Linked DNA regions of Nothobranchius furzeri. The protein of the gene in region 1 purifies or fractionates together with the protein of each later gene. This does not show direct contact. Links are inferred from orthologs where the notes say so. Each region holds a gene or a part of one and is shown in the gene's direction. Other genes may lie near its edges. The genes, in order: tsen15, tsen2 and tsen54.

Evidence for each region.
Region 2: the proteins of tsen15 (region 1) and tsen2 purify together in Homo sapiens (affinity purification with mass spectrometry; 4 studies listed by BioGRID and IntAct, counting the BioPlex papers as one, with this or other methods). This does not show direct contact. The link is inferred for Nothobranchius furzeri from reciprocal best matches to the Homo sapiens genes TSEN15 and TSEN2.
Region 3: the proteins of tsen15 (region 1) and tsen54 purify together in Homo sapiens (affinity purification with mass spectrometry; 4 studies listed by BioGRID and IntAct, counting the BioPlex papers as one, with this or other methods). This does not show direct contact. The link is inferred for Nothobranchius furzeri from reciprocal best matches to the Homo sapiens genes TSEN15 and TSEN54.

Annotation. Positions count from the first base shown.
Region 1 is NC_091751.1:70,462,714-70,468,544, reverse strand, and holds tsen15 (tRNA-splicing endonuclease subunit Sen15), read left to right. Parts: upstream 1-2,471; 5' UTR 2,472-2,592; coding exon 2,593-2,667; intron 2,668-3,752; coding exon 3,753-3,834; intron 3,835-3,995; coding exon 3,996-4,131; intron 4,132-4,204; coding exon 4,205-4,373; 3' UTR 4,374-4,659; downstream 4,660-5,831. UniProt on the Homo sapiens protein: Non-catalytic subunit of the tRNA-splicing endonuclease complex, a complex responsible for identification and cleavage of the splice sites in pre-tRNA. It cleaves pre-tRNA at the 5' and 3' splice sites to release the intron.
Region 2 is NC_091743.1:77,138,054-77,144,001, forward strand, and holds the start of tsen2 (tRNA-splicing endonuclease subunit Sen2), read left to right. Parts: upstream 1-2,374; 5' UTR 2,375-2,503; coding exon 2,504-2,674; intron 2,675-2,955; coding exon 2,956-3,022; intron 3,023-3,103; coding exon 3,104-3,143; intron 3,144-3,221; coding exon 3,222-3,482; intron 3,483-4,079; coding exon 4,080-4,227; intron 4,228-4,306; coding exon 4,307-4,381; intron 4,382-4,460; coding exon 4,461-4,511; intron 4,512-4,589; coding exon 4,590-4,734; intron 4,735-4,867; coding exon 4,868-4,904; intron 4,905-5,687; coding exon 5,688-5,799; intron 5,800-5,879; coding exon 5,880-5,948. Other genes in the region: MKRN2 opposite strand protein, read left to right, coding at 38-240, 802-851, 1,386-1,554, 1,621-1,843.
Region 3 is NC_091745.1:25,417,795-25,422,955, forward strand, and holds part of tsen54 (tRNA-splicing endonuclease subunit Sen54), read left to right. Parts: intron 1-113; coding exon 114-197; intron 198-316; coding exon 317-415; intron 416-486; coding exon 487-539; intron 540-1,976; coding exon 1,977-2,078; intron 2,079-2,553; coding exon 2,554-3,004; intron 3,005-3,063; coding exon 3,064-3,199; intron 3,200-3,273; coding exon 3,274-3,334; intron 3,335-5,161.

The DNA of each region.
Region 1 (5,831 bases):
ACGATCAGGAGTTTCAGACTCAAGCCGGAAAACCAGTGAGAATTCCTTGGAATGTGCTTGGCTCTGATTTGTTTTTAGTGATTCCCACATTCGTTCCTTTATCCCGGACAACTGAAAGCCTTAAACATTGTGAGCGTGTTTACAGTCGGATGGACCGCTGCGTCGGTAGAGCCTCCCTCGTGGAACCCCTGCAACAAGGCACTTTTAGTGTGAAAGGTGTTTCCTGTCACGAGGGGCTTGCACTGTCACTGTTTTTACAAGCAACACTGTGGAACTTTGTTCACGTCTAGAACTGAGAGTTTAATAACAAACCAAGTCTTCTCCATCGGCTTTAAAAAGCGTGAGAGAAACATGGAGGAGTTGCTTTTATTTGGTTAGTTTTGCGTGGATCTCCATCTTTAGTTGTGGATTATTATTATTATTATTATTATTATTATTAGATGGGACGTTTTATCGTCAGTTGCCTTTCTGATACAAGTCGGCTGTTCCGTTCTTCACCTGCAGCTGTTGTCTCCGCTCTGGCGTCGCGGTGCTTTGGTTGCTGCTGGCAGTAACCTCCAACACAGCGGCGGCCCACCTGAGGAACAAATGCTGTTTGCCGCAGACTCCCCAGAACTTACCTCGCCACGTCCTGGTTTTCAGTCTGCTCAGATTCCACCCGCCCTTCTTCACCCCCCCACACACTCCCTATGCAATACACGGGTCCGACCCGCCGGCTGGGCTCTGTGGTGTCCCAGCTTTCTGCCTAAATGATGGTTTCTGTTAACCACACTAGTTCAGATCTATGCCCGTTGGACAAGAGTGTGGATTCTTTTGTATAATGTCATTTTAGGATCTATTATTAAAGCTTTAGTTGATTTGAGGAACTAAATAATTGCTGTGTAACATTTATATTCTCAGGTGCCATTGGAGTTTGAGTCAGCATCCAAACATAAACATGTTCTTATTTCTTGTCTTTTTGCTGATTCAGTTATTACATATCAATGACCAATCATTCCTGTGGCGTTCTTCTTCTCTTCATATGTGGAGCAGTACTGATATCCCATGTTTTCAGGGTTTGCTTACACTGCTTTCTTCCTTTGTGAAATAAAAGTATTGTTTCTGTGCTTTTGTTATTCTATCAGTAGGAATAAAACACGACCTTCCGTCACACATTTTATCCTCTTTCTGTGTTTCTTTTCAGTTTCCATTGATGTTTTCTTGTTTAATAGACAGTGTAGCAGTTTATCTTCATCTCATGACAGTTTCCGTCGCCATTGTGAGCCTCGCTGATGTTGACAGCATTACATTTTCCTTCTAATAAAGACCGATAGGGTGGTCAAAGTAGCATGCCTTAAAGTCAAAGTGACCTACCTAAAGCCCCATTCCCACCTGTACCGGGTCGGCCCGGGCCGGGTAGCGTAGGTTGTTTACATATCTGGGTGGCCTGGTATTTTTCCGGGCCAACCAGGGCTCGTTCTCAGCCCTCTTCTCGAGGGGGTCTGCTTCAGGCCGACCAGGGCCAACACACCCACTGCTGACAGCAAATTCACACCTTCCATTAGAGCAAGCCTCTGATTGGTGGGTAGAATCAGCCCACATGGGCTTAAGACAAGGATGTGTGGAAACAACCGGGCCAGACTGGGGCCGACTGGGGCTACCCGGCCCGGGCCGACCCGGTACAGATGGGAATGGGGCTTAAGTAGGTTCTGGTTGTACCCACAAAAACGGCTCTATCTGGTCTGAGTGATCTTGTGTGCCCCCTAGTGCAACATTCCAGTACTACATCCAGGGCACATCTGGCCCTACCCACGTGTTCACATTGTTCTGCGTGGGACTCAAACAGGACCTAGGCCTCAAAGTCAAATGAGTTCACTGCAAGTGAAACGAGCTTATCGGGCTGTTGTTTCTGGATTTCACAGCTACGTCTGAATCTGCCGTTCTTTAGACTTCTGCTCTTTGTTTAGATCAGGGGTCTCCAACCTTTTTTGGCCCGTGAGCTACTTTTACACAATGAAAGTACCGAAGAGCCATACGATTTATTCACACTGGCACTTTACGTGTAAATATGTTTGTTAAAAATGCCATGCTTGCTAAATAAGAATGCTTTGTTTTCACAAGTTTATTTCTACATTTCAACACATTAATATATAAAAGAAGATATTCTGAAAATCTAAACATTTTGTTTATTAACTAGTCAGTTTCAAATAATGAATAACAAATCTAATTTGTTTGAATGATTTGACATTCTTTTAGAATGGATCAGTAACATCACTTTTTGAGCACAGTCCTGACCCCCTGCCCTGTGGTTAATAATCTGTAGCAGACTCACGGTCTACTAAACTAAAAGTCAAATTTGTTACAAGCTAAATAAGTTTGTTGTTTTATTTTTTAAGTATTTTCACGGTTTTCCTCAAATAAAACGGTGCACTATAATATTACACAGCGGTAATTTTCCTATGCTCTTCCGGTTTGCGGAACCAAATATAAGCGTTCCTTTTCCCACCCGGACAAACTATTGTAACGCACCACCAACGCTCTGGTGCTGAGCCGCTCAGCTTCAGCCCTCCTGCGTTTAAATACGATGTTCGGTTCTAACGTTCAGTTACAAACATGGCGGAAGTGATGGACGGAACGAAGAAGCGAGGCGAGACCGAACCTCCGAACTGGATCCTGCAGCACCCGGTGGTGAGTGGAGGAGCCGGTGGCGGAAGCATGACGTCACCAGTGCGCCCTCTGGCACCGCTAGCGAACCTTAGAGAAGAGGCACATCTGATATGTTATCCTTCAGTACTAACGGGTCGTTTTACTCAAATTTCATTAGTAACGTTAAAAAACGTGTCAGAAAAAGTATTGGTACATGTAAATGTATAAAGAAAGAAGTAAAATAAGATCAAAACTGTAACATCCAATTTTTAGCATTTTTTATTCTACTGATGTGACATTATTAGCCTCAGAGTGACCTGGCTGTGGGCAGCTCTTTACCCTGAGGCCATAAATGTGATGAGTTTCCACATGAAGCCCATCTGCGGACACCATCTCCTGACCCCCGTACACCAAGGAGGAAATATATTGGGCCTGGCTCAAGGACCCTGAAAGGTCCGTCGTAAACCGGTTGCAGAGCTGATCTGTGGGCATCGTGGCAAATGAAAAAACATAAATAAATACCCGAACTCGACAAATCCCACAGATAAACGAGGGCAACCCACGGTGAACCCGCACCGGATGTCCGTCGGCTGGCCAACCCACCTGTGGGGGCCAAGCGCAGAACCGAGGAACAAGCCCGCCTGGCGCGTGCTGGTTGGCCAAAAAGCTAGTTCAATCAGGGATGCACCGATGTCTTCCCTAACCCCAGAACATTTTACAGAGAGCAGAAAACACCTGGACAGGTGGCTCGTTTGTCACACTCTTGCTTCAATCAGTCTGAACTCATCCACACCAGGTAAACTCACCTGACCCTTCTCCGAGGCTGTTCACCACACCTAAAACCCTCTTACTCATGGTAGAGGCTTGGTTATGTAGATGTTTACAGGAAAGGGGGAAGTGGAAAAGCATAGCATAGTGGAGGTCTATGGACCACGGGCCTGAGGGTGGAAGCATCCACCAATATCCTGGCTAAGTTTCAGACTGTCGGTCTTTGAAATTTAGACTCAAAAGGAGAAGGAAGTTCACATTTGGTCCCGAGTGTGGTAACGAGGTAGTGAAAGGGTGACGTATGAGGTAAACAGTCCAGTCTGTCGGGTGTTTGGATCTCTGAGTCTTTGTTGTGCTAGTACCAGCAGATGAAGGAACTGGAGGTTGGAGACAGCACACAGCTGCACGCAGCTTTTCTGGTGTTCATGGACCTCACTGAGGGTGAGTTAGGCCCGACTCGGCTCGGGTTTGTTCTCCTCTAACATGCAGGTAGAACCGGCCCACACGGGCCAAGGAGAACCTCCTGCGGACGTGATACAGAAATGAAAAGGACCTCCTCTTGACTCGGTCATCTCTCTCGCTCTGATTCTTGCCCTCTGCAGTGCGCCAGTGGACGAAGGTGACCTATGCCGAGAGTCCAGAGCTGCAGCTGGTTCTGCTGGAAGCCAAGGAGAAGGATGGAGGTCCAGTTCAGACGGTTCTGCCTCTGCCTGTTCACCGTTCCCTGAGCCACAGGAGGTGAGAAAAACTTAGACTTCAACCGACATCCCTGCTTACATTCAGTCACAGAGCCTTTGTCCCTGCTGTGCAGCATACGCCACCTTCTGGACCGCGGGTTCCCTTTGCTGCTGTGTGCCGTGGCGTCCGACTCCACCCTGGTTTATCAGAGGATGACCGACGGGTTGGTGACTCCAGAACCCCCCGTGGGACTTTTCCATGATGCGGGTCGTCGGCAGAAGCAGCGGAGAAGAAAGCAGTGATGGATGTGTAGGCGGAGAGTGCGGAGGAGGGTGCATTTAAACCAGCACCCTGACAGGCTGGAGGTCCGGCCTGTGGCCCAAGTTCAGAATATGAAGAATGAGCCACAAGAGTGAGCGTGACCTCAACGTGGGCCTTCACCAGGTTCTGGTGCCGGTGTGCGGGTTGAACGTCCCACATCAGGATGCTGCTGATGGTCTGGCGAAACCAAAGGTTTACTAACTTTGCTGTTATTTTTATGTCTTTGATATCCGATCCGAACACAAAGTAAACATCACTTGTGATCCAGCTGTGATGATTCTTTAAGTGAGCAGCAGATGCAGACGGGGCCTGACGGCTGACATCTGCAGCCGGGTTTAAACCTTCTCCCAAATCAAACTATGATGTCTCCAAGCTTGTTTTATTAAAACTGACTTTTGTGTTGTTGGAAGTCTTGCTCGAGGACACGACTGCAACGGGGGATTGATCCTGCAACCCTCCGGTTACTGGGGGGGGTGATCAGATAGCAGGAATTAGCAGCGCTGAATTCAAGAACCAGGGAAGTAGCGGCCGACCCAAATATCAGCCGGCCAATTTGGCCGTCGGTCAAAATTATTTTTGAAAGCCGATTAAAATAAATAAATAAATCAGGCACCGGTGGGGCCAACTGCTGCCACTACTGGAGTGAAAAAAGGACGCCAACACACCGTTTTTTATGTTTTAAGTTAGTTTTACATTTGAAGTTAAAAAATCTTAAGAGGTTCGACTTATTTAATTAATATAGCACACAGTGAGTGTTCATTTCACAATGGGTGAGCTGCTAAAATGGATTTATATATCGGGCTAATAATCGGCTTTAGGTGTCGGCCATCTGCAACAAAATCCTATAAAAATTGGTACCGGCCATAAAAACCACAGCGGTGGGCTACAGGACCGTGTTGGGTTTCGGTCCATTCAGCGATCAGCTCACCAGTTGAGCCGCCTCATCCACCGTCTCAGCCTCAACCCCGGCCTCTGTCTGTTGTGTCCTTGAGCAAGACATGCACCCTGCTGGTGTTATGAACCAGTGACCTCTGTGTTACAGCCCAGGGCCGTCATTTATCAACCGTATTCACGAACAGAATTTCGTGCGCAGGACCAACTTTACGCATTGCGCGGTGTTTACCAGTTAGTGCTTGTGCGTGAAATGTTGCTAAATAAAAGAACAGCTCTGGCCGTGCGTGTGAACAGCATCCAGTGGTAGAACGGGGGAACCGCAGTAGTGGAGGTCTCAGGCCTAGTCCACACGTAGCCGGGGTTTTTAAAAACGAATATCCGCCCCTCCAAAAACTTGCATCCACACCACCGCGTTTAAAAAAAACTCTCCACACGTACCCGGATAAATACGTTGTTAAGGACATGCCAGACCTGTAGGCGGCAGTACTTCCCCCGTTCTTAACCTCGTCCTTCGTCTGTGGTCTTCCGCAAGGAGCAGTAATTCC
Region 2 (5,948 bases), on another chromosome or scaffold:
AGAACAGACAGAGGAGGAGGAGCAGTGACAGGAAGCGATGGAGCGCAGCGTCATCCGACTGAATCACTGTCAGAAGGAGATCTTCTGTTTCTCCGTTCCAAAGGAGTGTCCAAGCTGTGGGGAGGAGCTGAAGGGGAGCAGGCTGCAGGAGGCGCCCATCAGCGTCCCCTCCCCCTTCACCAATGGACACAAGAGCTCCTGCTGCCTGCTGGTCGCCCCTGCACGGGACAACCACGACAGGTAGGAGCATACAGGTGGTTCTCACACAGGTAAATACAGGTCAGATTCAGTGGGTCAGAACCAGGCTTCAGTCATAAACCTGGTGTGAACACCAACATCGCACCTGAACAGAAGTTCAGAATCTGCTCGAGTCCAGAGGGTGTCACAGGTGCCCGTCAGTGCGCCCCAGTGTGTGTTCATGGGTGGATGACTGTTGGGTTGTGAGGCGCCTTGGGGGGTTGTAGGACTCTAGAAGGCTCTATACAAATACAGGCCATTTTTACCATTTGGTGGTAACAAGAACCTTCATGCTTTCCTACACGATGGAACCAGAGGAGACCAGCCTGGACTGAGACTGCCACTCTGGTCTGAATGACACGGAACAGCTGCCAGGCCAAAAGGTTCTGGACCTTGTGTGTGTGTGCATGATGGGAGATCACTGCAGCAGTAGAGCTGTGAATTCTTTGGCTGAATCACATGAAGCTTTTTTATCATCTAATTGTAACCAGTGTCACCTGGTATGTTCCAGTTCAAACCAGTTTGAATTAGTCTAACCAGCATTTTCTGCTGTTTGTGTCTCAGAGACTTTGACGGGACGTCCGATCTGCACACCGGCATCTCTGACACTAAAGGTAAAAGCTCGACCTGAGGCGTGTTGGACCGGGTCTGCGAGGGTTAAATGGACTCAAGCACTGAAGAGAGCCAGATGTTCAGAGCAGAAACTGTTTATCAGCACTATCGACTGAACAGCCAATTGCAGCAGCAGCAAAGATGCTGTTAGGAGGAAGTCACACTCAAACGGAAGCCACCATCAGAAATTTGTGTGTTCACACACCTCTACGAAGCCTTGCTTACAGGAGAAGTTCATGTTGATCTTTGACCTTCAGGAGAGAAAAGAAAAAGTCAAAAAGATGTGAGCGACAATATCTAAGAAGGAAGAAACAAAAATAAATGAAAAAGTTATAAAATGGTTTGATGTAAAGATTTGCCTGTTTGTGTTTGTGTCCCACCTGAGTGTCTCACCTGAGTGTCCCACCTGTGTGTCTCACCTGTGTGTCTCACCTGAGTGTCTCACCTGAGTGTCTCACCTGAGTGTCTCACCTGAGTGTCTCACCTGAGTGTCCCACCTGTGTGTCTCACCTGAGTGTCCCACCTGTGTGTCTTAGGAGTTGTGTACAACTACACTCAGGATGGCGTGCAACGGGACCAAAGCGGATGGGAATGCTGCATCAGTGTCCCGCTGGTCCGACCTGATATGTTCCACCTGCTGGATCAGTGGGACCAGTACCTGGAGCGTTTCTCTGATGGACCCATGTGGGATCCTGTGTGGCACAAGTAAGTTTCATGTGAGACATCCAAAGTTCTCTCCGACCACCACCTGACCACCAGTGTGTATCTCAGGTTCCACGAGGACGACCACAACTGCTTCAGCTTCTGTCTTCACTTCCTGAACAGCATCCTGGAGGCAGAGGGACGCAGCCCTCTGAGCAGAGAAGACTTCACCCACTGCTTCATCCTGCCCAAGATGAGGAGGGTGTCCAAATACACCACGCTGTACCAGCACATCCAGAAACACCAGTATTATGTGGTGGACAGACAGGAGGACACCACGCCCACCAGTTAAACCAACTTAATCAGGATGTCATTACCCCCAAAATACCAAAATTCTAAATTTAAATGTAACACTTAAAGAAACACTGCAGATATAAAGCAAATATCTAAAAACACAAACATCACCATAATGGAGAGGACCTCTGACCCGGGGGTTTCGGTGGGTTTGGTCTGTTCTGGTGTTTCAGAGAATATTTATTATTCATTTAATTGTCTGACATTGTGAATAAGTGAAACTGATTTCATGTTCTGTTTTTGTTTGAGTCTTTGGTCCTTCCTAACTTTGTTTTGTATTGTTTTATTTATTTTGTAAATAAAAATTTATGTGTGGCCTGTTTCAGACTCAAACAGAAACAAGTGTCTGAATCAATTAGAACCGTAAAGTGAACAAAAAGTCAACGTTTTAAAAGCTTCTGAAGATAAAGTGAAGTACCGGTTTATTGTAGATTATACTTCAGACAAAAATCACATGAAAATAACATTTCAGCTGTAGGAGGAACCGATAAAATTAGCCGATGTTGGCGCACGAACATATATTTAGTTACACTGCCTCGTCCGACAGTAAAACAAGTCCCCTCGCTGAGTGCTAACAGATGCGCTAACAGAATAATACCGACCCTACAGTTCTCACCATCAGCCCGGAACCAGCGCGGGCTCTGCCGGAGCCGGCACCATGCGGGCAGAGTTCCGGGCTCCCCAACGACGAACCCGGGTTTATGAGGACTACGAGGCTCCGCTGCCGGTGAGCCGGGACCCGCATGAGAGGAAGGTCTACCGAGCGGAGCTCATCAACCAGCAGGTTCTGGTCTGTCATCCGGACCACATCCAGAAGATCCACAACCAGGTCAGAGTTCGTTCACATTAGAAACCAGGTCTTGTTCTTCGTCTCCTGTCAGCCTGCCTTTAGTTTTTATTCCATTTCTGTCCACTCGGTTGTTTGGTTTGAATCGGAGGCAGGCGAGTCTCACGTAAAATGTAGTTTGTTTTGACTGACAGCTCTGGGTTGTTCAGAGATCCTTGAGACCTTCCACTGGTTCCTTCCCGGTTCCTCCACACTTAGCCCCCTGACCTTCTGAAAGCTGTCAGTAGAACACATCTAGACTGACCAGAGTTTGTTGTTTTCAGGGTTTCTTTGGAAAAGGTGTTCTGTCCAGAGCCAGGCCCAACCACAGCGTCTCGGACAAATGGGAGCGTGAGTTGACACCTGCAGTGATGTCACTGTCAGTCTGGTCCAGTCTGTGCTGTTCACACCTGGTCTCTGTTTGTGTTACAGAACACGCAGGTCTACTTCTGCCTGTTGTCTCTCCATCCAGGTCAGTGCCATCATAAGCTACCTGTTCACACAGTGACATCACTTCTGTTATGATGATGTCACACGTTATCTTTCACAGGTATGAGGAGCTGCTCAGATGGGCAAAGGAGGCTCTCTCTGCTGAAGGACTGGATGAAGAAGTGTTCGGTAAAACCCTGCTCGCGTTGACTCGGGCAGTGGACATTGAAGATGTAAAGAAGGAGTTGGGAGGAGGGCAGGCAGAGGGGGAGAACGGAACAAGGGAGGAGGAAGAAGAGGTGAAGCCAATAGAAGCCTGTGATCTCCCAAAGGGGCAGAGGTTGGAGTCAGAGGTGGAGCCAGAAGCCAAGAGAGGCTGCAGGTAAATGTAGACTGTTTTATGTCAAACCAGCACACTTGGCTTTGTTAGAACCCTGAAGGTCCTGCTAAAGTACCAATAAACTAAAGACATGGTTAAAAATGAAAGGTACAGGTGATATTCAAAAGGACTGAGAGGTCAAACACAAATTCTGGCTCAGGACAGCATTTGTAGAATGACAGATCAATCTAGAGTGAAGATTTTCATGACTGTGTTGAAGCTGATAGAAACAGCAGGTTCTTGGTCCATCTGAGCTTGCATGAAGGTCCAGATTTCTATCCAGAGAACTGCCGTTTGGCCTGGGAGGGTTCTTGGGTCAGTGCTATGGGGCTCTCTGTATCCCTAATGGGCCAACATAGACCAGCTAAATCCCCAAAAGAACCCCAGTGAGTCTGATGAAGCCCCAAGTTGGTCAACAGGCATAGGTTTATAGGATTTTAAATGCAGCAGAAAGCCTTTGAGACCAGGGAAACATAATGCAGGTACAGCAGTAGCACAAAGAGGCTGATGGAGGGAGCTGTGAATTCAGGCCAGCGTGCAAGGAGTTTTGATCAGTTGGTTTTCTTCGACCGAATAAACCTTTTTCTTGTCAACATTCAGATCAAATCAACAGGATCCTGATTCTAGCTCTGAACAGGACTCTGACTCAACCCCAGATTCTGGTCCTGATCCAGCCTCTGACTCGGATCTCGATAATGGTCTTATGGTTCCAGGTCCTGGTTTTGTCCTGGTGGTCTCTGAAGGTCAGGTGGGTCTCTGAAGCTGCAGGTCCTGTTGTGTTTCTGAGCTGCTTCTGTTGTTGATGATTTGCTGTCGTATGGCTGCAGGACGGAGGAGGAGTCAGAGAGGTGAGGCGGAGTCCACTGTCTTTCACAGAGTACCTGCAACTTGGTCTGGAGGAGGTAACACACCTGAGTCATGGACTTTGATTAGGTTTGCTTCAGTATTTACCTGCCCACTCACCTGTCTGCTGACCTACAGGCCTTCTTCCTGGTCTACAGTCTGGGTTGCCTTTCCGTCTACCTTCAGCAGGTGTGTAGTGTTAGTTCATCGCTTGGTTCCTATCATAAAGAGTTGAACTTGTCTCTGTTCTCTCCTGTGATTGGTCAGGAGCCACTGTCAATCATCCAGCTTTGGAGGAAGTTCCGATCGCTTCATCCTGACTTCATCAGCTTGTACGCTGCTTATCATCATTTTCGCAGCAAGGGGTGGGTCCCTAAAGGAGGAGGCGGGGCCAAGTATGGTGCCGATCTCAGTAAGAACAGAAATCACACAAATATCTAGTCAGTCAACAATCAGAGCAGATTTACCCAAAAATGCTCTGGTGCTGTCAGATTTAAGGTAACGATGATGACTCTGAGAAACATTCAGTCTGTGTTTGTTTCCAGTGTTATACAGGAAAGGACCGCCTTTCTACCATGCCAGGTAACACACACACACACACAGTCGTACTTGTCTCCGTATCCTTGTGTGGACCCTCCATTGACTTCCTTTCATTTTTGTGACTTCACTTTTCCTAATCCTAAGCAAAACCCATGGGGTTCTATTTTTAACCCTAACCTAAACTAAGTGAATTCACACCATACCTCTAGAACCAAGTGTTTGGGTGCTTAGCGTTGTGTGGACCAGCAAAATATCCCCACAGTGTAAAAATGTCCTTGCGTTACAGGTTAAAGTTAAAAGTACACACACACACACACACACACACACACACACACACACACACACACACACACACACACACACACACACACACACACACACACACACACACACACACACACACACACACACACACACACACACACACACACACACACACACACACAGAGTCTGCCAGTAGCTGTAGGAGTTTGGCCTCTGGAATAAATGATGGTTTAGTCTGCAGATCTACACTCGTATGATTGACGGAGATAATTTTACCATCTCTCATAAGTGAATAGATTTTTTTTCCAATACATTTTTATTTGTTCTCTGTTGCTGGAACCGAGTGATCCATGTCCTGGTAGATGATGAACCTGTTCCTATGACTCGTCCCTGTCCAGTTACGGTCTGAACTGGGGTCCTACGAGCTTCCTAACTCCTCCTCAGTGACTAAACATATTTCCTCTATTTACAGGACCCATATCTTCATTTCTTACACTTAACTGCTCCCAATATTCTGGTGTCCTCCGTGTCCCTCAGATTGTCCCTGTTCTCTTCCTGTAGTTATTCCGTGGTAGTTGAAAGGACAGATGAAACATTCAGGGGCATGGCTCTGCGTCCGTTTTCATGGCGTTCTCTGGCCGCTCTCAGCAGGATCACAGCAAACGTCTCCAAGGTAATGTCCTGCCAGGTTTGTGCCGTCATACATGGCCATTATTCTGACTCTACTGATGCTAATCTGTGTGTGTTCGTCAGGAGCTGATGTTGTGTTACGTCATATACCCCGCTGACCTATTGGAGGCAGAGCTGGACTCACCTGTGTGC
Region 3 (5,161 bases), on another chromosome or scaffold:
ACCTGATCTGAAAGTAAACTTTTCCCCTTAATCCGTTTGCTGCTTTGAGACGAATCGACCCGTTATCACTGTGGAACCATCTCAGCTGCTAAATTCAGTTTCATTTTTCACAGGGAAAGTTTTGGCAGACGATGGGCTTTTCGTCTGACGGAAAGCAGTTCCTCCTCCCTGAAGAGGCTCTCTACCTGATGGAGTGTGTGAGTGGCAGATTGATCCAGTTCATCAGAATGTGGTGGTTTCACAACAAAGGACACTCGATTAATTCCATTGATTCGGTTCTACTTTTTTAACTTATTGAATTTGTTTGTGAGAGCAGGGAAACGTGCTGGTGTTTTATAAGGAGCTGCCGCTCTCCATCCAGGATGGATATGAGATGTTTCTGTCCTCGGACACAGTCGGCCTGCAGCAGTTTCAGGTAACGTTGTTTTAATTCTTGTTCTGAAACGTGCTTCTGAGTCCATCTCAAGACTCGCTTTTGTTTTAAAGGTTTTCGGGCATCTGAAGAGGCTCGGCTACGTGGTGCACAGATTTGATCCGAGGTAACAGAACCGTTTGTTCGATGCAAAAATATTATTCAGCACTTTGAATAAATATTGCGATATAATCTGAAGCATGATTAGTAACATTATTTATCTCAGCCCATTCTTATCTTCTGATTATACGTCAGGATTACAGTTGGAATATTCTCACCTACCAGATACAGGCAGCAACACAAAGACTTAAAAAAGAACAGAATGCCATTTAAAAGACATTAAACGTGCCAAAGTAATAAAAAAAACATAAAACTTTATAGTCATTTTATGGTATGCTATGATTAAAGGGGCATTGTGGAAGTTTGACAGCCAAAACATGTATAGAAATAATAAATGTCTTCTTCATACATTCTCCTGCAATGCCCTGGTCCTGTAGAATGAGCCCTGGCATTTTTACTGTGATTGCCTGTTTTTCTGTAAAATCACAGAAAAAGAGAGATGCTCGGGTCGAGCAGGCTGCTTCATGCGCGTTCACGCTCAGGCATAGCCCGTAGCATTTGCTATCCGTAGCTTTAGCAGCAGAGAGAGAGGCAGTGCCACTTTGTCGCTGTTCCTAACGCCTAGTGACAAAGCTAGCTACGTTTCTGAGGACCCTTAGCTACTTTCTGTGGCACAGGAGTTAAGTGCTCGCCCCGTAATCGGAAGGTTGCAGGTTTGAGCCCCGCTCAGTTTGTCGCTGTCGTTGTGTCCTTGGGCAAGGCACTTAACCCACGTTGCCTGCTGGTGGTGGTCGGAGGGACCGGTGGCACCTGCGCTCGGCAGCCTCGCCTCTCAGTGCGCCCCAGGGCAGCTGTGGCTACATCGTAGCTCATCCCCACCAGTGTGTGAATGTGTGTGTGAATGGGTGAATGACTGATTGTGTTGTAAAGTGCCTTGGGGGGGTTCCAGGACCCTAGAAGGCGCTATATCAAATACAGGCCATTTATTTTTATTTCAAATTTAGTTTAATTAGCTTTTAGCTGTTTGCGAGTTTTAGTTTAGGTTTTATTTAGTTTAAATGTTTAATTGCACATTAACAGTGCTACATGGAATTTGCATTAATGCAATATTAACTTAGTCTTCTTTACAAACTCCTCCTCCTCCACCCGCTCCAGGCTCTCAGCAGCAGACACTCCTTTTGTCCAAAGTAGACGCAGCAGCGTCCATCAGCATGTCCAATCGCAGAAGGCTGAGTCAGAATATCGTTGGCTAAATCCAGATAATTTGTACCATATACTGTTTATATCACCCGTTACTAATAGGATTATATCAAAACAAGCTGCTTCATTAAAAAAATAATTAAAAAAAGGTCAAATCCATTTGATTTGACACAAAATACATAGTGAGATTTTAGAATCGGTGTCTTTCTGGGTTTTGTTTAAAGATAGAACCAAACTGAATAGATAAACGCAGTTTTCCTTGTTTAAAATGAGTGGCAGACTTGTTTGTGTTGTTTTTTTCCAGCTTGGAGCCGTCGTCCTATGTGAGACAGCTGAACCTGCCCCAGTCCCATGAGCGAGGAGGAAGAACGCTGAAGAGGAAACGGAGCGTCAGCCCGACGTCCAGGTAAGCAGCCCGATCCTAAACCCCAAACCACAGTTTCGTTACTGCCTGGTTTAACCATCAAGGGAAATAATCGGGACAAAACTTGCATTTACTGTTTATTTGTTTATCGTAAAAATGCAGCTCAAAGTGTTTTAAAACATGCTACAAATGTTTCAGTTAGAAAAACTCACCAGTTTGTTCAAAAGTATTTACGAGAATCAATAACGAGTGTTTGGTAAAGAAGGACTTCCAGTTAAAAACAACCAGACATCAAAGCTCTGAAAAAGACGTTAAATGAGGAGCAGATGTGCACGTGTGTGGAGGTAAAGCTAAGAAATACAAACGTTTTAAGCTACGATCATTAAGTTAATGTTGGTTAAAAAATGAAGTAAATACGTTTACTTTAAAATGAGAGTTTTAACATTATTATTTGATAAAAACTGCAGCTTCTCCCTAACAAGCACAAGTCTGCAGCTGGTTTGTGTTTTCTCTGCAGTCAGACTGAAACACGAGCTGAATCCCCCGCTGAGAAAATGGAGGAGGATAGTAAACTCCCCGAGTCACTCCTAGTGACCTCTGCAGAACCTCCTGAGGCCCAGAACGCCTCCATCAGCTCTGCAGATGACAGTCGGGTCAGAACCTGGAGGACCTGGAATGGTCCTGGACGAGACTCTGAGAAAACCTTGATCACCGCCTCTTCATCTGCTCGCTCACGCTGGGACTTCAGCACCATCTTCTTCCCGGACCTGGGCCACGGGGGCCAGCGCCCCAGCTGCATGGCCCCCCCGGACCCGTCGCTGCTGCCTGCAGATCTGACGGCTGGAGTTTGTGACGTCGCAGCTTGGAGGCACAAAATAAACCTGCGACATGTGAAGATGTCTGCAAAAGAGAGGAAGAGGGAGCAGCACAAACACAGGCGGTGGCGGGACATGAACAAAGACAAAGAGGTAAAAACTAAACATATCACGGGTGGATAAGTCACACTTATTTATTTGTTTATTTAAAGGTTCGCAGGTGCAGTAACTGGGCGGAGTATCACGACCTCTTGGCAAGGCGGCAGGCGAAGCCCCGAGGCCAACCTGCTCACTTATGGAACGCGGAGGTTGAGCCTTTACACAACCCGACTCGACCCCTCTCCACTGGTGAGCTGGTGAAGGATCTGAGTGTTTATCGGTTTAACTCTGATTAAAAACTCAATATCTGTGTTTCCTATCAGCGGAGCTGCTGGACAAAATCAGCGTGATTAAATCTACACATCTGCTAGACGGAGCATCCAGGTACTGAATGCTTTTATGAGACGTTAAAGGCGGAGAAGTCTTACGAATGTGTTTGATGTGAAACAGTAGATCTAATCCGTCTGATAATCACGCTTCAGAACCTTTTATTTACCCACTCGGATGTGGTTTAACACTCCCAGTTGGGGACAAAAGTCCAACTCTCGCTAATATTTTAACAGCTGAAAGAAAATCATAAGCAACACTAAAAACACTGATTTCAAAACTATATTGATAGGATTACTAATGCCATAACAACATTGCTGTTTAATTCATACCATTTGAAGCTTTTTATAACTTTTCATGCATTTTCTGTTAAAACCCAAATTTATTTTTTATCTTTTTGGTAATTTTAATGTTTTCATTCATGTTTCTGTTGCTTCTCCACCTCTTACCTTCTCTAAAGTCCGTTTCTATGTTTAGCTAAGATTTTACACTTTTGATATAATCTTTAGTTTGTGAATTCTTCCCTTTTTCCAACTAATCTTTTTATTTTTCTCTGTCTTCAGTTTCTTTATGCAAAACATTTTTAAACTGAGAATCATTCTGATGGCTTTTTCTGTCTTAATAATTGTCTGATTTTCATTTGTTTGGTCTGCCGTATTGACCTAAGAGTTTATCTGTTGGCCCTTAATTATATTTTATTTTACTGGCAACTTTTACCATTTCACTCTCATAAAAATGACTCGAAACTCCCCAAAAGATAAGTTTTGGCTTTTTGAAATATATTTTATTCTTCTGAAAAGGCTAAAGATCTCTAGAAAACTCACAAAGCACAAATATTTGACATTAAGTCTAAAAGTGTTCAAACACAGTCTGTAATGGTAACAATTAGGGATGTGAATGTTGGAGCAACTCACGATTTGATTCGATTCTGATTCTTAGGATGTCGATTCGATTCAGAATTGATTCTCGATTTAAATCGATTCACAATCAGTATTAACAAAGAGTGTCGGCTCCAGGATGAACTACTTTGTTGTACAAGTTATTTAAAGCTACGGGACATTTTTATTAGACTTTAAACTGGTCATGCTCCAAAAATGCAAATTTACAAGGTAAAATAAAGTGATTCTAAAACTGTAAACAGAAACAATCTTTTGACCAAAAGGCAACATTTATTTTTGCTTACCTTGTAAAATATAACACATGATCTGTAGTTACCTAACAGTAGCTGTGAAAGTAATATGGTCAAATACTTTTCAAGTATGTGTAGAAACAAGTTACATGAGTAATCCTGAGTACTCATTTATCAACTTAGAAAATGAATATGAGAATATCTCAAATTTCTGAGTATGGAAAAAATGACATTCAAGGGCCCTCTTATCAGCAGATTCAAACATAAATCATCTCAATTTATGGGACCACAAAAGTAATCAATCAATCAATCAAAGCTTTATTTATAAAGCGCCTTCCGCAACCCTGTCAGGAAGCCCAAAGCGCTGAACATGGTACAGTTGTAAGTAATTATACACAATAAATCAACAATAAAAGAAATTCAAATTACAAAATACAAAATGGAAATTACAAGATAGATGAAACATTCCGGTAAAATACAAATGTGTGAGACACAATTGGATTGAGTGGATGGATTGAGTGTACCAATGAAAACTGTGGAATGGATTCAACATAATAGAGGGCCATAATCAAACATGTTCTGGAAACGCCAAGCGGAGGAGGTGTGATTTTAGGTGATTCTTAAAGACTGGCAGAGAAGGGGACAGCCTAACTGAGGGTGGCAACTGGTTCCAGAGTAACGGTGCTAGGACTGAGAAAGCCCGGTCCCCACGGGTACGACACCTAGACCGAGGGACAGCGAGCAGGCCTTGGTCA